Linked DNA regions of Arabidopsis thaliana. The main gene of each other region encodes a partner of the protein of the gene in region 2 in a complex. Each region holds a gene or a part of one and is shown on either strand. Other genes may lie near its edges.

Region 1 (8,444 bases), about 27 Mb from region 2:
TAAACCGGGAAAAAGAAAAGAGAAATACCGTTAAGTTTGGACTAACCGAAATTAGAAGCAGTATTCATAAACCAAAAATCCAAAAGGCAAAAACACTATGAGACCACTATGCAGATTGAGAGAGCCAAAATTTATACATCACATTAAAGTAGAGTAATCATCAAGTATCCAATCCTAATTCTAAATTTGTAGAGCTCATAAAAGAAAAATGAGAAAACAGAACCTCTTGATCCAAACTATATAAAAAGTTTTATCTATAGTTTCTCAGTTGCTGCCAGAAGCTGGAGCACTCCAGTTTGGTGGAAGACGGTCGGAAACAGGCAAAGCCGTAGAAGTGGGCAAGTTTCGGACATTGATATCAAGAGGATACAATCTATACTCAATGTCAAGCTCTCTGCAAATTTTGGCAATCTCTTCAACAAGTTGAGACCTTCGAGCCCATTTCTCTCCCATATCTTGATGATTCATTCGATGTGTTGGCCAAACCGCAATTCTCACGCTGTTTAATGACTCCATGTCTTTGAATACTATCATTGGCGCTGGATACCAATGATCCTTCTTGCCCTCAATGTAACTATCACAACAACGAATGCAGGTAATGAAATACAAGAATTTTCAGGTATTAAAATTTGTGAAACTGTGATTCCAAATTTGCAATGTACCTTGTGATTCTCTGTTTGATGAGTATGATTTTCTCAGCTGGAGTAGTAATGTGGATGGAGAATTCGATACCATCTCCCATATCAGGACTACGGTAATAATTTCCGATGGATTTAGTCCAGAGAAGACTGTTCGGGTACACGACTTTCTGGTTATCAAATCTCAAGAAAACTGTTGTCAATATGTTCATCTCTTCCACAACCATCTGAAACAAGAAGTTTTTTAAACATTAGAATTGAAAAATGAGAACTATTAGTTACTAGTTTTTTGAAGTTACCTGGACTCCATCAATTTCACATCGATCGCCTACATCAAACGGATGTATCACAAACAAGTAGATGATAGATTCAAATACTATCTTGCACATGTTTCCAAATATGAATGCTACAACCACGACTTGCGAGCTCATGACGACGAGGAATTTGGTGGAAGTGATTCCAAGTATGATAAGCCAGATAACAAGTATGATGATCCCAACCACGATATTCACCATCTTGTGAAGCCTGTTTACTGCTGTTTTGGTGTCGTTTAGGGTCAATGCAAGAGCTCTTCTCTCTCTAAAAGCATTCACCTGTGAAAAGGTTGTTGCACATTTTCATTAATATCTGAATTCATTAAAGAGTGTAAATTCATTCCAAATTTCTTACCACCCAGTTTTTAAGAGATGACTTGCTGATCCTGTTCGTCTCAGATGCTCCTTCAAAGAGACTTAAAGTCTTCAAAGCTTCGTCATCTGGCAGAAACCGCATTATGTCGTTTGCATAGATGAACCTAAATGAGAAAATAAGCAATTGCTACTGGTTAGTATCTATAATGCAATACTATTGTAAAGCCTTTGTATAAAGAAAAAAGTGATTTTCTTTACTTTGATCCTGGCTTAGCAACATTATGAAAGATCTTTCTTGCAGCGAGCTTTGCCTCAAACTCACTTCTAATTTGGTTTCCTTTATCATCATCCAAGCTTGGATCCTGAAGCTGTTCATCCAAAGTGGTAAGTGATCCATTCCGGATTATATTCATCAGCCTCTTCATTTTCCATGCGGAAACATTCTTAGGATTCAGCTTATGAAGGCTATCGATCGTAATCCCTTTGTTTTCTCCTCCTCCCCCTCCTCCATTAGATAGAACATGAGAGAGAAACGGGCTTTTCCCGGTCTTCATTGGACTTTTCTGAGCTCCTGACTGAATCTCAACACCCCCTGGATTTTGAAACTTCTTAACCTCAACACTGATTCTCTCTTCCTCTTCCTCATTTTTTTGGATCTCAATCAAAGGAGGACCCGAGAGCGTCTCAATCACATACTGAGTAAACAAAGACTCTTGAATCCTATCGAAGTAAGTGCTCATATGAAACGATGAAGCAAGAACTTTGACCAACAGTGTCTTCACGAGCCACAACAAGAACCCAACCAACAAACACACAAAGATCTTAGTCACAACACGAAGCGCCTTAGTGTTTGCTGCTTTAGCCACTTTCTCATCAAACAAGAAATGCCAAGCCAGTAAAACAAGTCCTAACCATAAGCAATTCTGCACCGCTTTTCGGACACCATAAACGAAATACAAAACTCTTTTCCTCAAAAGAAAGTTCCTTTCGATAAAGAAGACAACAATCTTCACAATCCAGCTCGAGACTAACCTACCACAGATCAACACTAAAACCATTGACTCCCATTTCCATAGCTGAAGTTCCCAGAGTTTCTTCTTACGCAAGGAAGGTATCGCAAGAGTGCAAACAAACCCAGCTATAATCAAAATCAAACTCAACCATTCCAACACAATCCATAGACTAAGTTTATCTTTCCTATACTCTTCTGGTAAATCCTCTGCTGCAAATGGATCATCTTCTTCTTCCTCACCTTGAGTCTTAGGGCTTTTTCCAAAAAAACCTGATTTCATCTGCCCGGATTTCGGAATCCGACCCGACTTCATATCCGCCGTTTGCGGCGGCAACTGAGGCGTTGGCGGATCCGAAAGACGTGACCTAGTTCTCATCTTAAGTAAAGTGCTAGAGCTTCTCTGAATCGGAGCATTATTACCACTACACTTGACAACTTCTCCATCATCGTTATTGTTGGTATTACTGCGACTGTCTCGTCTTCCCACGGGGTCACGTTTTGTAGAAACTCTCGGAGATTCCGATACCGGAGTTAAACCTCTAGATTGAAGCTCGTCCATACCTAAGTCCATATCTAAACAAATCTCACCGGAAGCTTGCTGTTTATGGAGAAACTGACCAATCAGCTTCGTGGGAGGATCTTCGCCGCGACGAAACTCAAAACCCTCATCTTTTTGTTGCTCCCCCGTCGTGGCGGCGGATCTATCAGAATCAACCGCCGCAGCATTATGACCTTTGTTGAGGTTACCTTCACCATCAGTCCAAAAATCGTAGCTTCCGTCTCTCCATATCTTTCCTACAGTCTCTCCGGAGACTCCATTGTTGTTTCCGTTTTCACCGTCGATTTTGACGATAACTTCTCGCCGGTCAGCCGCATCAACGGCCATTACTCAAACAATCCAGCGAAATCTAGGTTTAGCGTACACACCAACGATTAGAGAAGGAAAGCAAAAAAAAGAAAGATTTAATCACACTTTTGGGTAACTGTGAAAGCAAGAAGAAGAGAAAACGCTTTTATTTGATCAGAGCTGGTGATGACTCTTTGTGAGAAAAGAGAGGGTAAGTAATAAGGAAATAAAATTATCTAATTAAAGTATGACGCGTGTAAGCCAATCGCTACCACACAGCTACAACATCATCACTTTGAAATTTGGACGACACACAGAGATCCTCTTCTCCCTCTCTCTCTCTGTGTCTTAATATTATTATTTTTTCAATACCAAACTTTGGCAAAGTTCGAGAAGAAGATGGGAACTTACTCACGGCGAACCATTTAGGTTTTTATTATTTCGTCAAACTTTGGCAAACTAATATTTGTTTAGTATACATTTTGTTTTAAGGATATCGTTTTACATATTTTGTTTGATTCTACGCTAGCATATAGTATTTCAAAAAAAAATCAAATTATTCCATTTTTGGTATTGTTTATTAGGTTAGGTTTGTGCCTTTGTGGGGAAGGGACATTCGTCACATGTATGAAGGACTCACGCAAAACGATGAATATTGTATTTAATGGCTTAGTTAGATGTTGTCGTAATTAATAATAGGTTATTAATTTTTAAAGTAGTTCTTTTAGAACTTAATAAAGAATTAAGCATATTTTAGAACTAGATCAGTTCCAGAAATAAGAAAGTTACAAACTTACTACTATTATCGAGACAGTAGTAAACCCATGTTAGAGAATTTAACCAAAAAAGTGAAAAAACATTGAAAAAAAGTAAGAAAAAGGGCAAGCAAGAGTCTTCTTCAGGCGCGCCGTGGCGGACATTTGACTTTAAGAAAGAAAAAGCGAGATTTGCGCTGCGGCGGTGTAAAAATCAGTCGTAAAATACACGCGTTTGAGGAGCGCGTGTGAATTTTGACACTTGTCAGCTGTGTGTTAGACAGATGTTGCGGCCCATGGGCCATTGTCGTATCTTATTGCGGACCACAGGTTCGTAGAAGCAACGCATTGTATAATTTTTCTTCATGTTTCATAAGTCTAAAAGTAAACAAGCCTGTTAAGTCTCGCTGTCTTGTTTAACAGCTAGGCCGATGGATGCATTTTTCTCTAGAGGCTTCTAAATTAAAATTGGCCACCAGAAACACTATCTTATGCAACGTCGAGAATATTGCTAAAGATGACAGGAACAAGACATAATAATGACAAAAAAGAAGAATGTATTCGAGAAAATCACGACTCTTCGACGACTTCTTTCTCAACCAATTCTTGGTACTTTGTTGTTGCCTTTTCTTCAAACTTTTTTCTTACATTTTCATCACTACTTTCTCTATTTGCTACATAACTTTTTTTACATGTTCTTCAATTTATGATGTCGCAATAGAATTTGGACTTCATGTGAAGGAAATAGAAGAAATCACGTGAATGGATCCCTAAGCAGAAGAAATTTTATAAGTTTCTCTATCTACGGGACAATTGCAAAGGCAAACTTAATTCACATAAATATCATCCAATAATTGCTAGACAATGGTCCCAGAAGTTTTTTCCCCTCATTGATGTTGGACTACTAGTTGTACACAACAGAGTATAATTTATAACACCACTGAATACGTAAGGCTGTGTTTAACAATATAAAAAAAGAATCTAACCTCACTGAGAATACATGACCTTCGTGGCAGGTTTTACTTGACCCAGTTCTGGAGTATAAACTGTTGCATCAAAATCGCCACAATGCTTCCCAAGCTTATGTTGATCACGTTGACTACATCATTGTTTAGCTACACATAGCAAAATAGTGACTAACATGAGACAGAATACAGTCGAGATCATTGCATTCTTGTTTAGTTGGTAACTAATTGCAAGGAATGGATTCATAAGACGAAAACTTCAAAATTCTGTATTGAATGGAAATCGTTTTCCACTCAAGCCAGTTATCTATCAGTCTTTCTGCAAGAAGTGACGGTATATTCATTTGATTATCATCTTCTTGCATTGACAACAAGTAGACAGAGTGAGATCAATAAAACAAAAAGAAGAGAGTTCATTGAAGTGAGCATACCCATTTGAATCCTTCTTTGTCTTGAAAAGAAGCACCTATTATGCTCTCTCCAAGATTGGCAATCTGGGAAGCTAGTACACATACAGCTGCTTCTGGAGGAGTTATCTGTGTTCAAGATATCAAAAGGAAAAGAAGTTTAAAAATCGTGTAATGATAACAGTCTTTAGTAGCATAAAGAAGCTGTGAAGGGAAATTTTGGTAGCAAATAACACTATTACCTGACCCAGGAAGCAGCCAACAGATGCAAGAAAAAATGATGCTAAAAGTCCAGCCAATGTTCCTTCAAGACTCATAGCTCCCTCTGTTCCTCTTGGTACAATCTTAAATGTCGTAGCTAAATACCTGCGAATTGGCAATGGTTAGTAAGATCATTTCAGTTGTCGATTGGATTCATGTCATGACACCACAAGTCCATGCCATACATCAGACAGAAAACAGACACAGACCATAACAGAAGAGGCTATAGCTGGATAACAGTAGCATACTCACGTTGTTTTTCCATAAGCTTTGCCTATCTCGCTCGAGACAGTGTCAGATACTTTAGTGCAGAAACTGGAAACAAAACCAAGCCGGAAAAGCTGGGAAAAAGCTGCTCCTCCCACTTGATATATTGAAAGAAAAGCACAGACACAACCAGCAGCACTTGAACCAATCACACTGCGTGGTCCTCTTCTACCCTTTCTCTTTTCGGCCACACCTTGTGCTTCCTTTTGCGTCATTTTAACCTTCGTTGCCGCTGTTCCCTGTGATATTGTAAATCATCTAAACCAACTTCAGCGCCAGAATCAATTGCAAATTTACTGTTACTATTTCCAGCTCTGGGGTGAAACACGATATTGAAATCTAAAACTTAAAGCATTGCAGAGAAAAGACTAAGTATCTCAATGTTGAGCATGATCAGAAAAAGTAGCTCCTTAATCTGTAAACGTGATTTAGGATCTCTAACACGTCCACAATTCCTAAATTAAACAATAACACATCTAAAATCTAAGGACATTCTTCATTCATCAGCTCGAAATCAAAATCAAAGCAGCGAATTTCTACGTTCTAAGAGTCAGTTACCGAATTACATTCAGGTTGATCACAAATGCACTTACTATGACGAAGTAAGCAGCGACTAAGAGGAAACCAGCAGAGCCATAAGCTCTCCAAGTTAAAGTACCAAGCAAAAACGCGGCGGCGATCCCAGAAGCGGACAATCCGGTAACAAGAAGCGGTGAACCGAGAACAAAAATCAATAAATTGTTAGCCACAGCTGATTTCCAAGTTGGTGACGCCGATTGAATCAGTTTCATCGCCTCCGTCATCACTCCTTCCATCGATGCAGCCGCCGCCGTAGCACCGTCGGCTCTACTTCCCGACGAAAGCATTCCGTTGGAAAGTGGTTCCAGATTACGTCGTCCAAATCTGTAAGATCTAGCGAATGGAGAGGAAGAAGAAAATCCCGAGAATTTTGGGAATCTTAGTGGTAAAGCTGATCTAGAAGAATTTAAGAGTAGAGTTGACGAAATCGTTGCCATGACTTAGCTTGCTTCCGAAGAAGACCTTTCTCTCCTATTGAGAAAAAAAAAACAGTATTTCGGGTTGAATCCGGAGCTCCGAAAAAAACCCGGATCCTTAACCCGTGTTGTGTTTATTTTTCGGTCGTATTCATCAGATTATTTACGGTGTTGCCACTACTACTATTTACTGAGAACCCAATCTTATCCGAGAAATCGGAAAGAGCAGAAGAAATTTGCAGAAGAGAGAAAAACAAAAATGGCGGTTCTTTGCTCGTCTTCGACGGTGATACTCTCTTCTTCTTCCGTGAAATCCTCCGGAAGTGAGAGAAAGTCTCCGTTTTTAGGGTTCTCTTTAACGGCTATCTCGAAGCCGTCGGTACGAGTCGGCATTTATGCGAATTCGAAAAGAGGATTGCAAGTGAAGTGTGAAGCTGAGCCGACGACGACGACTTCTCTTGTTCCGGCGAATCAACGATGGATGTTCGACGAAGAAGAAGCTAATGGCCCTGTAACGATAATTTTTCTATCTCCCTCTGTGTTTAGCATCTACGCATTTATAAAGTGTCGCACTTTAGCTCTTGCTTTGAATTTGAAGTATGGCTTGTTTTTTTCTTCTCCCAATTGCGATTTATTAAGTAGTGGATTTTGCCTTTGACTCATTAGCTGTGTTGTCTGCATCAATTGGCTTCGAAAATTGATGTTTATTCTTCTGAATTTGTTAACTTGGACGTTTTATGAAATTATTAATGTTTGGTTGGAGAGAAGTTAAAAGTCTTTGGCTTGAAACCTTTATTGAGTGTATTCTATGGTTTACAGGACATCTGGAACACGACATGGTATCCAAAAGCTTCAGACCATGTGAACACGGACAAGCCCTGGTTTGTGGTTGATGCAACTGACAAAATTCTTGGTAGATTGGCATCGACAATTGCTAATCACATCCGTGGGAAGAATCTTGCCTCTTACACTCCTAGTGTCGACATGGGAGCTTTTGTGATTGTGGTATGAGTTTCTTTGAGCTATCTGTAGAGAATAAGAAATTTGATGTGCTGCTTTAGTTAATTTCTTCCTGAAGGAGGAGCCTTGGGATTTGGTTTTAGTAAGATTCACATTAGCAGCAAGATGTAGAGCCTCTATGTAGATGTTTGGGCAATGCTTGTAACTTGGTACCTCTAATACTGTTTTCAATTGTTTGGTTAAAGGTGAATGCTGAGAAAGTTGCTGTATCTGGAAAGAAGCGTAACCAAAAGCTGTACAGGAGGCATTCAGGACGACCTGGTGGTATGACAGTAGAGACATTTGATCAATTGCAGCAGAGAATTCCTGAAAGAATCGTTGAGCATGCTGTTCGTGGAATGCTTCCAAAGGGACGGGTTAGATACATAATCCACAGCTCTTTATTAGTCTCCTTTAAGTCTTAACACTTAGCAAATCCGTGTTTCTTCAAACTTATGGATTGAACTTGGAAACTACTTGTTGCGATATTGGTATTGATTGATTACTAGTTTTCCAACTCCCTCTTAACTTTGGTCTGACCATTTTGTGGCAGCTTGGGAGAGCTCTGTTCAATCACCTGAAGGTGTACAAAGGCCCTGACCATCCTCACGAGGCCCAGAAACCGCTTGATCTGCCTATCAGGGACAAGAGAATACAGCTGCAAAAATA
Region 2 (10,813 bases):
CAGCATGGATAAAATTTTATCCAAATGTTTTTTTGGACATCATTTATCCACATTTAAAAGCAAATATTAATCCCATGAGAGAATACGAGAAAAACGCAGATAAGTTGATATACGGTTTTAAAAAAAAAAGGTGACCACTTATATTAAAAGGTAAAATTAATTGGTCATTAATATTAAAAAATATTTAGAGCTTCATAATCAGGAGAAGAGTTGTTGTTGTTGTAAAAAATTTTATCTTGTTGATAATCAACGATCCTTTATTTATTTTAAACTAAAAGAGAAAGTAATTTACTAAAATTTAGAAATAACCAATCATTATCAGATTTCCCATACTATAATACATTAAACTTTTTAAAAGACAACATAAATTATATCTCAGTTATCATCAAACAAAATGATGATCACTTCACTAAATCAAATTCCACACATTAATGTTCAACTTTAGCATATACATAAAATTTAGCTAGGGAACCTAAATCCTCTACACTGCATAAGCCTGAATTTGTTGAGTGTTCAACAAAAGGACAATGGCATCTAAAGAAGAAACTTCTTCTCTAGCTTCTCACTTGCCTCAGACTATCCTTGTTTTAGAAAACACACGTCATCATTTTGTTAAAGGTACATTTCAGTTCAAGTACTGTCATTGAAACTGATCTCTGAGCACACTTCATCTACTGTTCCCATCAACACCTGATTGATTCTGTGGAGATTCCGGATATGGAATCACTGGCGGAGGTTGACTATCTAATGTATGTTCCAAACTCTCAGAAGTCAGAGTATAAGTCTGGTCTAAAGATAACAACATGTCTGGTAACACTGATCTTGGGGAAGTAGCAGACTCGTCTGATGTGACATTGTTCACATTTGAAACTTCAGGTTCCACAAGTTCTTGCAACTCTTGAGTTGATTGGTCTCCATCATTTCCCCCAAAATGTTCTTGGGGTTCTTGATTTGTTCTTCTTTCAAAGGCTTCAGGTTCATCAGAGTCATCATTTATCTTCATCTCATCAGTCAAGTTTTGGACACGTTCCTGTCATAACGGTACAAGGAATATATTCAAATTCAACATTTTGAGAAACACATTGCAAGTAGCAATCATATTTCCATAAAACCTGACAAGAACAAGAACTATATAACCTCTTCTCTTCTCGAAATAACTTCATTGATGTGAGGAACTGTTGACTCTTCATGTATATAGAATCCTTTGTCTGAATTTTCCAGTGGAAAGCGTCCGGATTTTGAGCTCTCTTCTTCCTCAGATCTTCCGTTGATATCAGTACCATCAGACAGACCCTCAACTTGTTTGGCTACATAAGTTTCTGGAGAGACCTTAGAAATCGTTTCATTTAAATCTTTATCAACTTTCTCCACTGGTAACATTTGAGTTTCTTCAGTTCTATCCACAATGCTCTCCTCACCACTAAATCCCGTCTCCTTCCCAATGTCTGATTCGTTGACAATACGTGATTTTTCTTCATCAGAAGAATTATTCCCATCAACTGTAGTGGGAGGTGATCCAATTTCAGAAACCTCAACTTGAAGATCAGATTCTACAGATAACTTATGACCTTTTTTTGAGCTATAACCAAAATGCTCCACGTATCTTTGCCTTTCCGCTGCTAAAGAACTCGAAAGCGAACCAGTGTTTCTAGGAACTAAACCAACTAAAGGGTTTTCAACACGAAGATCACCATTTCCTTTCCCAGAAGTTCCAGAAAAATATGCTTGATTTGAGACATCAGAATTCATTTCCCTGTCTTCAGGAGAAAGCAATGAGTTTGAATCACTAACAACAATCTCTGTCATGTGTTCTGACTCCATATCATTTACTTCTCCTCTTGTTAGATCTTTTCCTTTCATTACAGGATGTTTCTCCCCAACCAATCCATCATTGCTACCTACATGAGCAAGGATCAGAATTGTAGAACTTAGAATCATTTACTTTGTAAGCTACAACATTTTTCAGAATGACAAGAGGATGTACCTTGTTGTGGTATTGACTTCTTTTTCCACGGTTCCCATTTCGTGTCAAGCTGATTGTCCAATGGAAAGACTCTGCGACAAAAGCTTTCATGGCGGCAGAAGAAGATATCATTAGGGTTGGCTGCAAACTCTTGCTGAAAACTATCTCCTGAGAGGTTAGGCTTCTCTTCTTGTGGATCATAAGGAATATCAAAAGGGTTTTTAGTTGGTAATAACACAGAAGGTGCAGATTCAGGCATTTGAAGACCATCAACTATATAGTTTTCTTGATCCAAACCGAAATAGTTCCGTCCAACACAGACTGGAGGAACTTCCATATCCATTAAGCTACTCTCAGCGGCAAGTCGGACTAATCTCCTCATTCTTCTTCTAGTAATCAAATGCTCTAACCTCTTGTTACGTTCCATCTCAGAGTTTCCTAAATCCATCAAATTCTTTTGATCATCCTCTGTCCAAGCTACAATCTTTTTGTCTTCACGTGTAGTTTCTTCTTCTTCTTCGCCTTCTGATGACGATGAACACTCGATCTCGGTTTCGCCACCACCACTAGTCAACCTCTCCGATGGATCCACAACGGAAACATTCCCGGTGGTTGAAAGAGTTTCTTCATCTAAGCTAGGCTCAAAGGAGAAACCTTCAGACACAAGAAAGGCTCCATCTTTCTTGAATTTCTGAAGTTTGGGAGATTTTGCAGTATTGGGAATTTCACCATAGAGAGTTGTTAAAATGACTCTGTCTCTCTCATCTTCACTAGCCTGAGAAGAGTCCCAATCTTTCCCAACCTCTTCAACTTTCCTTCTAGCGTTTCGTCGAACACTTCGTTGGTGCTTTAAGTCAGCCTTCCTTGTTTCTTCCTCCTCAGATCTCTTTTGGGAAAATGGTGAAAACCAATTATCCGTTTTGATATGCAAAAGCTTAAAACTTGGATGATTCCGAAGATAAAACACAGAGCATGCGATTAACGGAGAAGAGTAAAGGACGAAATAAAAAAGGCGTGGAAGAAAAATGTATAGGAGGAAGATAATTGCAGAAACACCAGAAACAACTGGGTGATTCCTTACGTTTCTATAAACGATGTTCGTGGAAAATCTGAGAATTTTCCAGAACAGAGTTCCGACATCTTTGGCATCGATTCCCATGTTTTAAACAGTTCAAATTCTCAGAACACTTTGAGAGATAATAACCCAAAGCATTCTGTCTATGGCGGTTTGTGTTTTGTCCTAGAGAATCAAAATGCTTGAAAGGGAAAAACAAATATGGTTTAATTGAAGAAGCGAAAATTGATCAATAAGAGAGAGGTCAAGCTTTCATTTGAAACAATAACCAGTCAATAAAAAATAGATTTTTCAAGGGTTTTTTTAGATTTTCGTTTTGGTTCTTTTTCAGTTTTCAGAACACACGGTAAGGACGGAGAAGACAAAATAGAAAACTGGTAAGAGAGGGCGGGAGTTAAATTAGTTGCTTTCTTACACATGTTTCCAAAGATTCTTGTTTTCTTACACTTTTAACCACATTTTTTACTGGTTCAGAAATTGACCCTTAAAGTTCATGGATTTTGCATCTCATATCTCTTTCTTCAAAAGATTGGGCTATCTTCTTAAGCCCACCAAGACCCATCAAATGTCTGTAAATAACATACACTATTGACACTTCCTAAGTTTTCTAGCTAATCCTTTTTTTTAGCAAGTTGTTAACAGATTTGTGTGAGACTATTCATGATTTTCAAAACCAAGATGAACATCAACGCTTAAAGCTTATAATAGCCACTCTTTCTTGTTAACTTGATGACTAAAGTCAATCTTTGTTGCTCAATCTTAACTGATACACACACAATCAACGTTACTCATGATATCTAATTTCACTCCTTACTCCTTCATTGAGAGTTGGACACAAAATCAGTATGACAAGAAATTGAGGATGATCTCTTAAGAAAAACTCTAAAAGTAAATACACATTTCTCTTGTTGTGACACAAAAAGGAAAGAGAAGACCTCATCAAGGAGAGTGAGAAGATGTACTCAAGATTAAACTCATAATTAAGCCACACTTGAAGCAATTGGAACTACGGGTGCTACTCATTCTTAAGCTTCCTCTGACCCTTCATAACACAAACAAATAATTACTTTTCCATATTAACACATCATATTTCTACCTCTTCAAGAAATTAAAACCAGACAAAAACGATCAAACACAACATTCAAAACATCAAATTTCGACAACAAGCCAGTTCCTTTCAAGAAAACACTAACCTTCCGTCTCATCTTCATCGTCATCTTCTTCCTCCACCGCATCAACACCGTACCTCGCATTCAAGAACTCCACAGCCGCAGGAGTCAGAACAAGCTTATCAGCGTTCAAAATATCAAACAGATTCAGTGTCCTAGGCGTCAACATCCTCAAGGTTCCAATGTTCCTACTCGATTTCGCCACATTCTCATCCACATCAATCATCAAGAACATAGCTTTCTCCTTGGGATCCAATCCCCACCTTTGCATCGCAGCTAAGAAATCTTTAGTCTTGGGCTTCTCAAACTTCTCCCCAAATTCCTCCACCACTATCGCACCACCTTCCGCAGATGCCGCACTCGATAACGCCGTAGATATCGCTAGCTTCTTCTCCTTCCTATTGATTTTAATTGACCAATCCTTAGGTCTTGGCCCAAACACCACACCTCCACCGGGACGTAACGGTGTTCTCTGAGATCCACGCCTCGCGTGGCCAGTTTTCTTCTGTGAGTAAGGTTTAATTCCACCACCACGAACTTCACCGCGAGTCAGTGTGGAAGCAGTACCTCGCCGCTTGTTATTCAGGTCCGTCACGATGGCTCGGTGCACAACGGCACGCGCGGTATCCTCCGGCGCCGCTTTGAGGTCTAGATACGTCTCTCCGACCTTCTCTCCTTCGAATGATAGAATCGGTAGAGTCGCTAGCTGGGAAGAGACAGAAAGCGGCTTCGAGACTCTGCCGGAGCCGAGTTTTGAAACGGAAATGTAGGTTTTAGGGATTTGGTGAGAGGAGGATAAAAAGAGAGAAGATGAGAAGAAAGATAGCGAATTTGGTGCTGTTGCAGAAGAAGCCATTGTTGTTCCCTGACCTGACCTATCACAACGAAGAAGAAGAAGAAAGACTGAGAAAGTGTTATCCACTCTTCAAATGCCTATCTTGTGCTTGGTGAGAATTTATGCATCTGTTTGGACATAAGGATATAACTATCCTGTTCATGAATAACTCCAGCTGTCGCTAGTAAGAAAGAGTCAAACTCCAAAAGTCAAAAGCCTCTTATATAGCCAGCAGGTTTTTTGAGACATAAAACTCTGTGATAAAACGATGATAGTTGATGATAGCTGAGACTTTGATACAGATATTTGAGATACGAGCGCACGTTAGCTAAGACCACCGCGTAAGCCACCGTCTCGTCTTGAAACGCACCGTATTCATGACTTCGTCGGAGCCACTCGACCTGGTTGTCACCGTCGTCTCTGCCAAGCACCTGAAGAATGTCAACTGGCGTAACGGTGACCTGAAACCCTACGTTGTTCTGTATCTTGACCAAGACCACCCTCTCTCCACCCGCTCCGATGATTCCTCCTCCATCAAACCGGTGTGGAACGAGCGGATTACTCTTCCTCTCACCCGATCTGTCCACGAATCGGTCCTCAACATCGAGGTTTTTCATTCCAATTCTTCGGATCTGGCGAAAACCCTCGTCGGATCGGTTAGGTTTCCTCTAGCTCGTTTGATTGACTCGGACGGGTCAATGATTCCGGAATTGATCAACTCGCTCGAGCTGGTTCGTCCATCGGGTCGACCACAGGGGAAGATTCGTTTGAAGCTCGCGATCAAAGACAGACCAATCCCTCCACCGCAGCATCCTCCGCCACGTCCTCAATCTCAACCACTAGATTACTATTCTGCCCCTCAAGGAAACCATTATTACTCCCCTAGCCCTCCTCCTCCTCCTCCTCCTCAAGCACCGATCACCGCTCCATCTCCTCAGCGTGACTACAGAGAATTCTCACAGTCACCGTCTCCGTCTCCTTACGCATTCACTGATCACTACTATTCCGGGTATTATTATCCGCCTCCTCCACCACGTTCAATGTACGATCGTGCCTCCAATTACGGCCTCCCAAGTGGCCCATCTGCTCCCGTTGATGCCTTCTCATCGATTGATCACAAGCAGCCTCCTTTAGCTCCTCCTCGGTTTTCTAACTACGGTCCACCGCCTAGTGGGCCCTCAGCACCCGTTGATGCCTTTCTGGTTACCGAGTACAAGCCACAAGCTCCACCTATGGGCTCGCGATTGTCTAGCTACGGAGTGCCTAATGGTCCATCGGCACCAGTCGATTACTCTCCTTATGATCACAGGCAGTTGCAGAAGACGATGGGTGGATTGAGCTTAGAGGAAGAGAGAGCTGCTGCAGAGAGGTCTGAGAGTGATTTCGGAGCTAGGCCAAACTACAGCTATGGCCGTGATTATCGCCGTGAATGTTGAGGATGGCAAAAAGTTGTTGAATTTCACAAGTGTGCGGCGTTTCTAAGGCTTTACTTATCATCAGATTTGTTGGTGTTAGAACACCAGGAAATGGCTGATGACAAAATATGAATTTGGTGAAGTATATGTTATGTCTATATGTATGTCTCGTTTGTGAATTGATTTGTTGCTTCTTTCTAGCTGATATTCGGTGTTACCCCTTCTGTACCTTTGTACATGTTTCTAAAACATCTCTCATTTCTTTCCTTCATTCAGTTTCTTGAATCAAGCTATTGGGTTCTTAGGGTTAATGTTCTAATGTGAATCACTTTACTGTTGATTTATTGTTTGAACCATGCTCTGATTAGGTATGGTAGTATGCTCTGTCTCAGACATGAACAGTCCTATATCCTGCGATTCTGCCGAATATTTTTGCAGGCTGGTTAAAGACTTTGGTTCTTATTTCATGTTTGATGATACCAATGTGTGATTTTCGTTTGGAACCAGTGATCTCCATATTCATTGAGCGTTTGGATTAATGTGTCTTGAATCATGCTCATCACAGTGCAGAAAAGATGTTCTCTCTGATCGTTTTGGGTAAAATGGTATGTACACGGTTGGTGCTAAGTCTATTGTGCTCTTGTTATAACGATGAGACAGAGCAGTTTTGCTATTGCATTCTTTTCCCTTTTGGCATTTTGGTAACCTGCTATACATATCAGTCAATCTCATGCTATTTGCATCTAATCACTGACAATCATGCAGGTATTATTGTTCTGTTCTCAATGGAATGTTTTCACATGTAAAATCACTCTATTCTCCAGATTGTGTGATCTTCTATTTATGTCCTGACACTCCCTGGTTTATTATATGCTTTCTCATATTCTTGTACCCACCATTAACTTGTTTTTTTGTTCTTTCCTTGATCCCTCCTTTTTATTGTAGCCGCAGACTCATGAAAGGAATCTGCATCCATAAAGGTAAGATTATATTGGCCTCTCCTGGAGTCAAAAAGAAACTTTTTTAGATTGTTATGTAACTTATGTGCACACATGAGTGATCATCAAAGAAGAATGATACCAAATGGTTGCTTAACCTTTTTCTTCACTTAAACAAAGGGTTTATTCCCTCTGTGGACCGTAAAGAAAAATAGAAAAAACTAAACCTAGTCTTCTCTTTTTGCTCTTGGGCATAGTTCTCTTTATAAATTTGTAGATCCACTTTAACTACAAGTCTTTTTATATATAGGGTCTAAAATAAGATTGAAGTTACACTTTTTTGTTAGTTGTTTATTTGTTTATGTCTTGAGTGCTTAATCATGGCCTAAGCGTAATGATGTTATAGATAATATACATCATTAATCATTTCATGTCTTTTCCCGTATTTGCCTGAACTATCAGCACAACTGTTCTCAGCACCAGTCCGTTAAATATCTCTCATTATCCTCATATTGTTTCCCATAAACTTCTCTCACTCTCTCTATCTTTCTCTTGATATGTCAGCTACTGGTATAAAACGGTCCAACCTCAACACTAGACCGGTTCAGAGAGATGCTTCGGCTAAGCAAACAGCTATCAAGGGACCTTATGGTAAGAGTCCGGGATGCACAACAAGCTGCGGATTAAGGTTACCGAGGAAAACAGAAGTGACAGCAGCAAAATTGATCAAGCATCTTGGATGCAAATTTGCAAAAGGTTTGCGTCTGGTGGTGATGAGGAAGAAGAAAAGATCTCCACCGTCGAAGGTTTCTTCTTTTTCTGGGAGGTCTCAGCCACCAATCATCCCAATAAACAATGACAGTCATCGATCAGAGGCCATAGAAGACTGCATACAGTTCATCAACTCATCATCCTCCTTCACCAGATCAAACTCTACTTCTTAAGTGTTATCATTCCCAAACCTTTTGTCTCGGTCGCTCGCTCGCTCGCGTATTGTCTATTTTACTTATTCGTGAGAGTTGCATGTAAATAATGTCTACATAAATCTATTATGTGACTTCTGTTGTTGTAGTACGAGTAACTGTCTTCCATCTTTCTCAATTTCTGTCTATAAATATTAGATTTTGATATTCGTATTTGTTCATGATTAGTTACAAGGATAAGCCACTTCTGTTTTATCAATAAACGAATTTCCTCTTTCTATAATACATATTTTTCTGAGATGTTCCTATAATTAAAATGTTCGTGTGTGACTTATTTTATCATTTTATTAATTATGTAGTAAAAATGCTTTAGTTTAAAAAGTAAATTTAAAATAGTTTATCCAAGAAAGTTCATAAATAAAGCATGGCCACTGATTTGTTTACCCTAACAGTTAGTAGCACCTTCAGTGAACGGGAGACCACCTAAATCAATCTATGTGTGAGCGTGTGTGATTTGTTTAGCTTTAACGTTTGATAGCCTAAAACAACTTCTTCCTTTTGTGTAGTCTTTTTACCCAATTCTATCATATCTTTTAAAATAGAAAATTATAGCAAATTTTTGGTCGTGTTCACAATTTGTTTGAGTGGGCTACTAAAAGTTGAAATCTCCACTAATCGTTTAGATAATACTAAATCCATTTGTTAATGTTGATCCACTGAAATCTATATATGTAAATGAAAATCAAACTGATTTTTAGCCTGAGACGAAAATTTGTCGGCAAGTGTGCGATCAAATGATCAGTAAGTATTAAGTGTGATCAGTCGTTTAGACCAAAAGACAAATTTGCAAGAATTAAAAACATCAGTACGCCTAAAAAGCCCGTAATGTCTTAACAACGTATGGGCTTAATTCTAATGTCTAAAGCCCGTAATATCAAAGCCCAAGCCCAGGTTTATAATACATCCGACACAGCCACCGGCAATCTTCCCGCCAGTATAATCGCCATGGATTCCGGCAGTCTCAAGCCTAAAAGGCTAAAAATATTTTCGTCGCATACATCATTCCGTTCTCAGCTGATTTAAAATACAATTAATCTGCTCCCAGATTTGAAGAACCCTAAAATAAAAAAGAGTAAAATTGAAGGCTGGAGATTGTGAACATGGACGGTTACTCTCTCTCTCCTACCTCGGTAATCTCGCTCAGATCCTCCCACGTTCTTCCTCGCCTCTTACGCCTTTGCGTGTTACCTAAAAAGGTCATCACCTTCATCGTCGCCGGTTTTCCTCTTCTCAAATTCGGTGGATCTCATTTCCCACTGACGATCGTACTCTCTCGATTCGTATTTACGCGCCGTGTTTCAAGCTATTTCGAGCTCATAAGTGTTAAAGTCTCTTCCTTACTCTTCAATCAATCATTCGTATCTTCGATTCCGTGAATTGAAGAGGGAACTTTTCTGCGATTCTGCGAATTGAGGAGGGAACTTTGTTGCCATTCTGGAACAAGAAATGTCTGCCGTGAAACTGGAAGCAATTGTTTGCCACGAGCCTGATGAATCAGAGCTGAGTCACTTGAGTGATAATGGTAGTAAAACTAAAAACGGAGTTGTCTTTCAACTTCTCGATCAGAAGAGTTCCGAACATAGATGGTTTAGTGAAAGGTAATGTAAGATGCTTAGACTTTGTTTTCTTGAGCGGATTCAGTGTTATGAGCTCTAAAGATTTGTTGTGGTTATAGAGGGAATAATGCATTTGAATTTCTTGATTCTTCCTCAAGGTTTCTTAGATGGAGACGGAGATATCTTCCGGTTGATGGAGATAACAGGCGTGACCACGGGTCTGTGAAACAGTCAGGACCTCTTGTGTCTGGTGCAGCTTACTGTATCTCTTCCTGCAGCATGATTATATTGAACAAAATTGTTCTCTCCAGCTACAATTTCAACGCAGGGGTCTCTTTGATGCTTTATCAAGTAAGACATTTTAACCCCATTAGCTGGTTTCCTTGATTTGACAAAGTATATAGTTTGGTGATTTCCTTATACGTTTATTTCAGAACTTAATCAGCTGTTTGGTGGTAGCTGTACTAGATATCTCTGGAGTGGTTTCAGTGGAAAAATTTAACTGGAAGTTGATTAGAGTATGGATGCCTGTCAATGTTATCTTTGTGGGCATGCTGGTCTCGGGAATGTACAGGTAAGGTTTCGAACATCAGGCGAGAGAGTAATTGGTTAAATTTCATTTAAGACTAATGCAACATTACATTTCTATTCCAGTTTGAAATACATAAACGTCGCTATGGTAACTATTCTGAAGAATGCGACGAATATTCTCACAGGAATAGGGGAGGTATACATGTTCCGCAAAAGGCAGAACAACAAGGTTTGGGCTGCAATGTTCATGATGGTAAGTTAAATTGCACATCTTGCCTCCAGTTAGTTTCTGCAGGCAATTCTCTCTGATATCAAAGTGACACCAACTAAGAGTTTGCAATACAGATC

What was found. The genes of interacting proteins can lie anywhere in the genome.
Region 1: RPL4 (region 2) and emb1473 share a complex: the UniProt entries of both Arabidopsis thaliana proteins name them as parts of the 50S ribosomal subunit.

The regions. Positions count from the first base shown.
Region 1 is NC_003070.9:29,568,962-29,577,405, forward strand, and holds the start of emb1473 (Ribosomal protein L13 family protein), read left to right. Parts: upstream 1-6,844; 5' UTR 6,845-7,035; coding exon 7,036-7,287; intron 7,288-7,595; coding exon 7,596-7,781; intron 7,782-7,981; coding exon 7,982-8,152; intron 8,153-8,328; coding exon 8,329-8,444. Other genes in the region: MSL6 (mechanosensitive channel of small conductance-like 6), read right to left, coding at 265-574, 663-865, 938-1,231, 1,308-1,431, 1,526-3,165; AT1G78620 (integral membrane protein (Protein of unknown function DUF92, transmembrane)), read right to left, coding at 4,901-4,996, 5,278-5,382, 5,496-5,619, 5,767-6,020, 6,348-6,797.
Region 2 is NC_003070.9:2,243,440-2,254,252, reverse strand, and holds RPL4 (ribosomal protein L4), read right to left. Parts: upstream 5,287-10,813; 5' UTR 5,064-5,286; coding exon 4,232-5,063; coding exon of another isoform or gene 4,227-4,231; exon of another isoform or gene 4,081-4,226; coding exon 4,064-4,080; 3' UTR 3,724-4,063; downstream 1-3,723. Other genes in the region: AT1G07330 (dentin sialophosphoprotein), read right to left, coding at 668-1,030, 1,138-1,898, 1,985-3,122; AT1G07310 (Calcium-dependent lipid-binding (CaLB domain) family protein), read left to right, coding at 5,420-6,478; AT1G07300 (josephin protein-like protein), read left to right, coding at 7,248-7,437, 7,960-8,339; GONST2 (golgi nucleotide sugar transporter 2), read left to right, coding at 9,825-9,976, 10,093-10,285, 10,369-10,508, 10,651-10,718, 10,811-10,813. UniProt on the Arabidopsis thaliana protein: This protein binds directly and specifically to 23S rRNA. May play a role in plastid transcriptional regulation.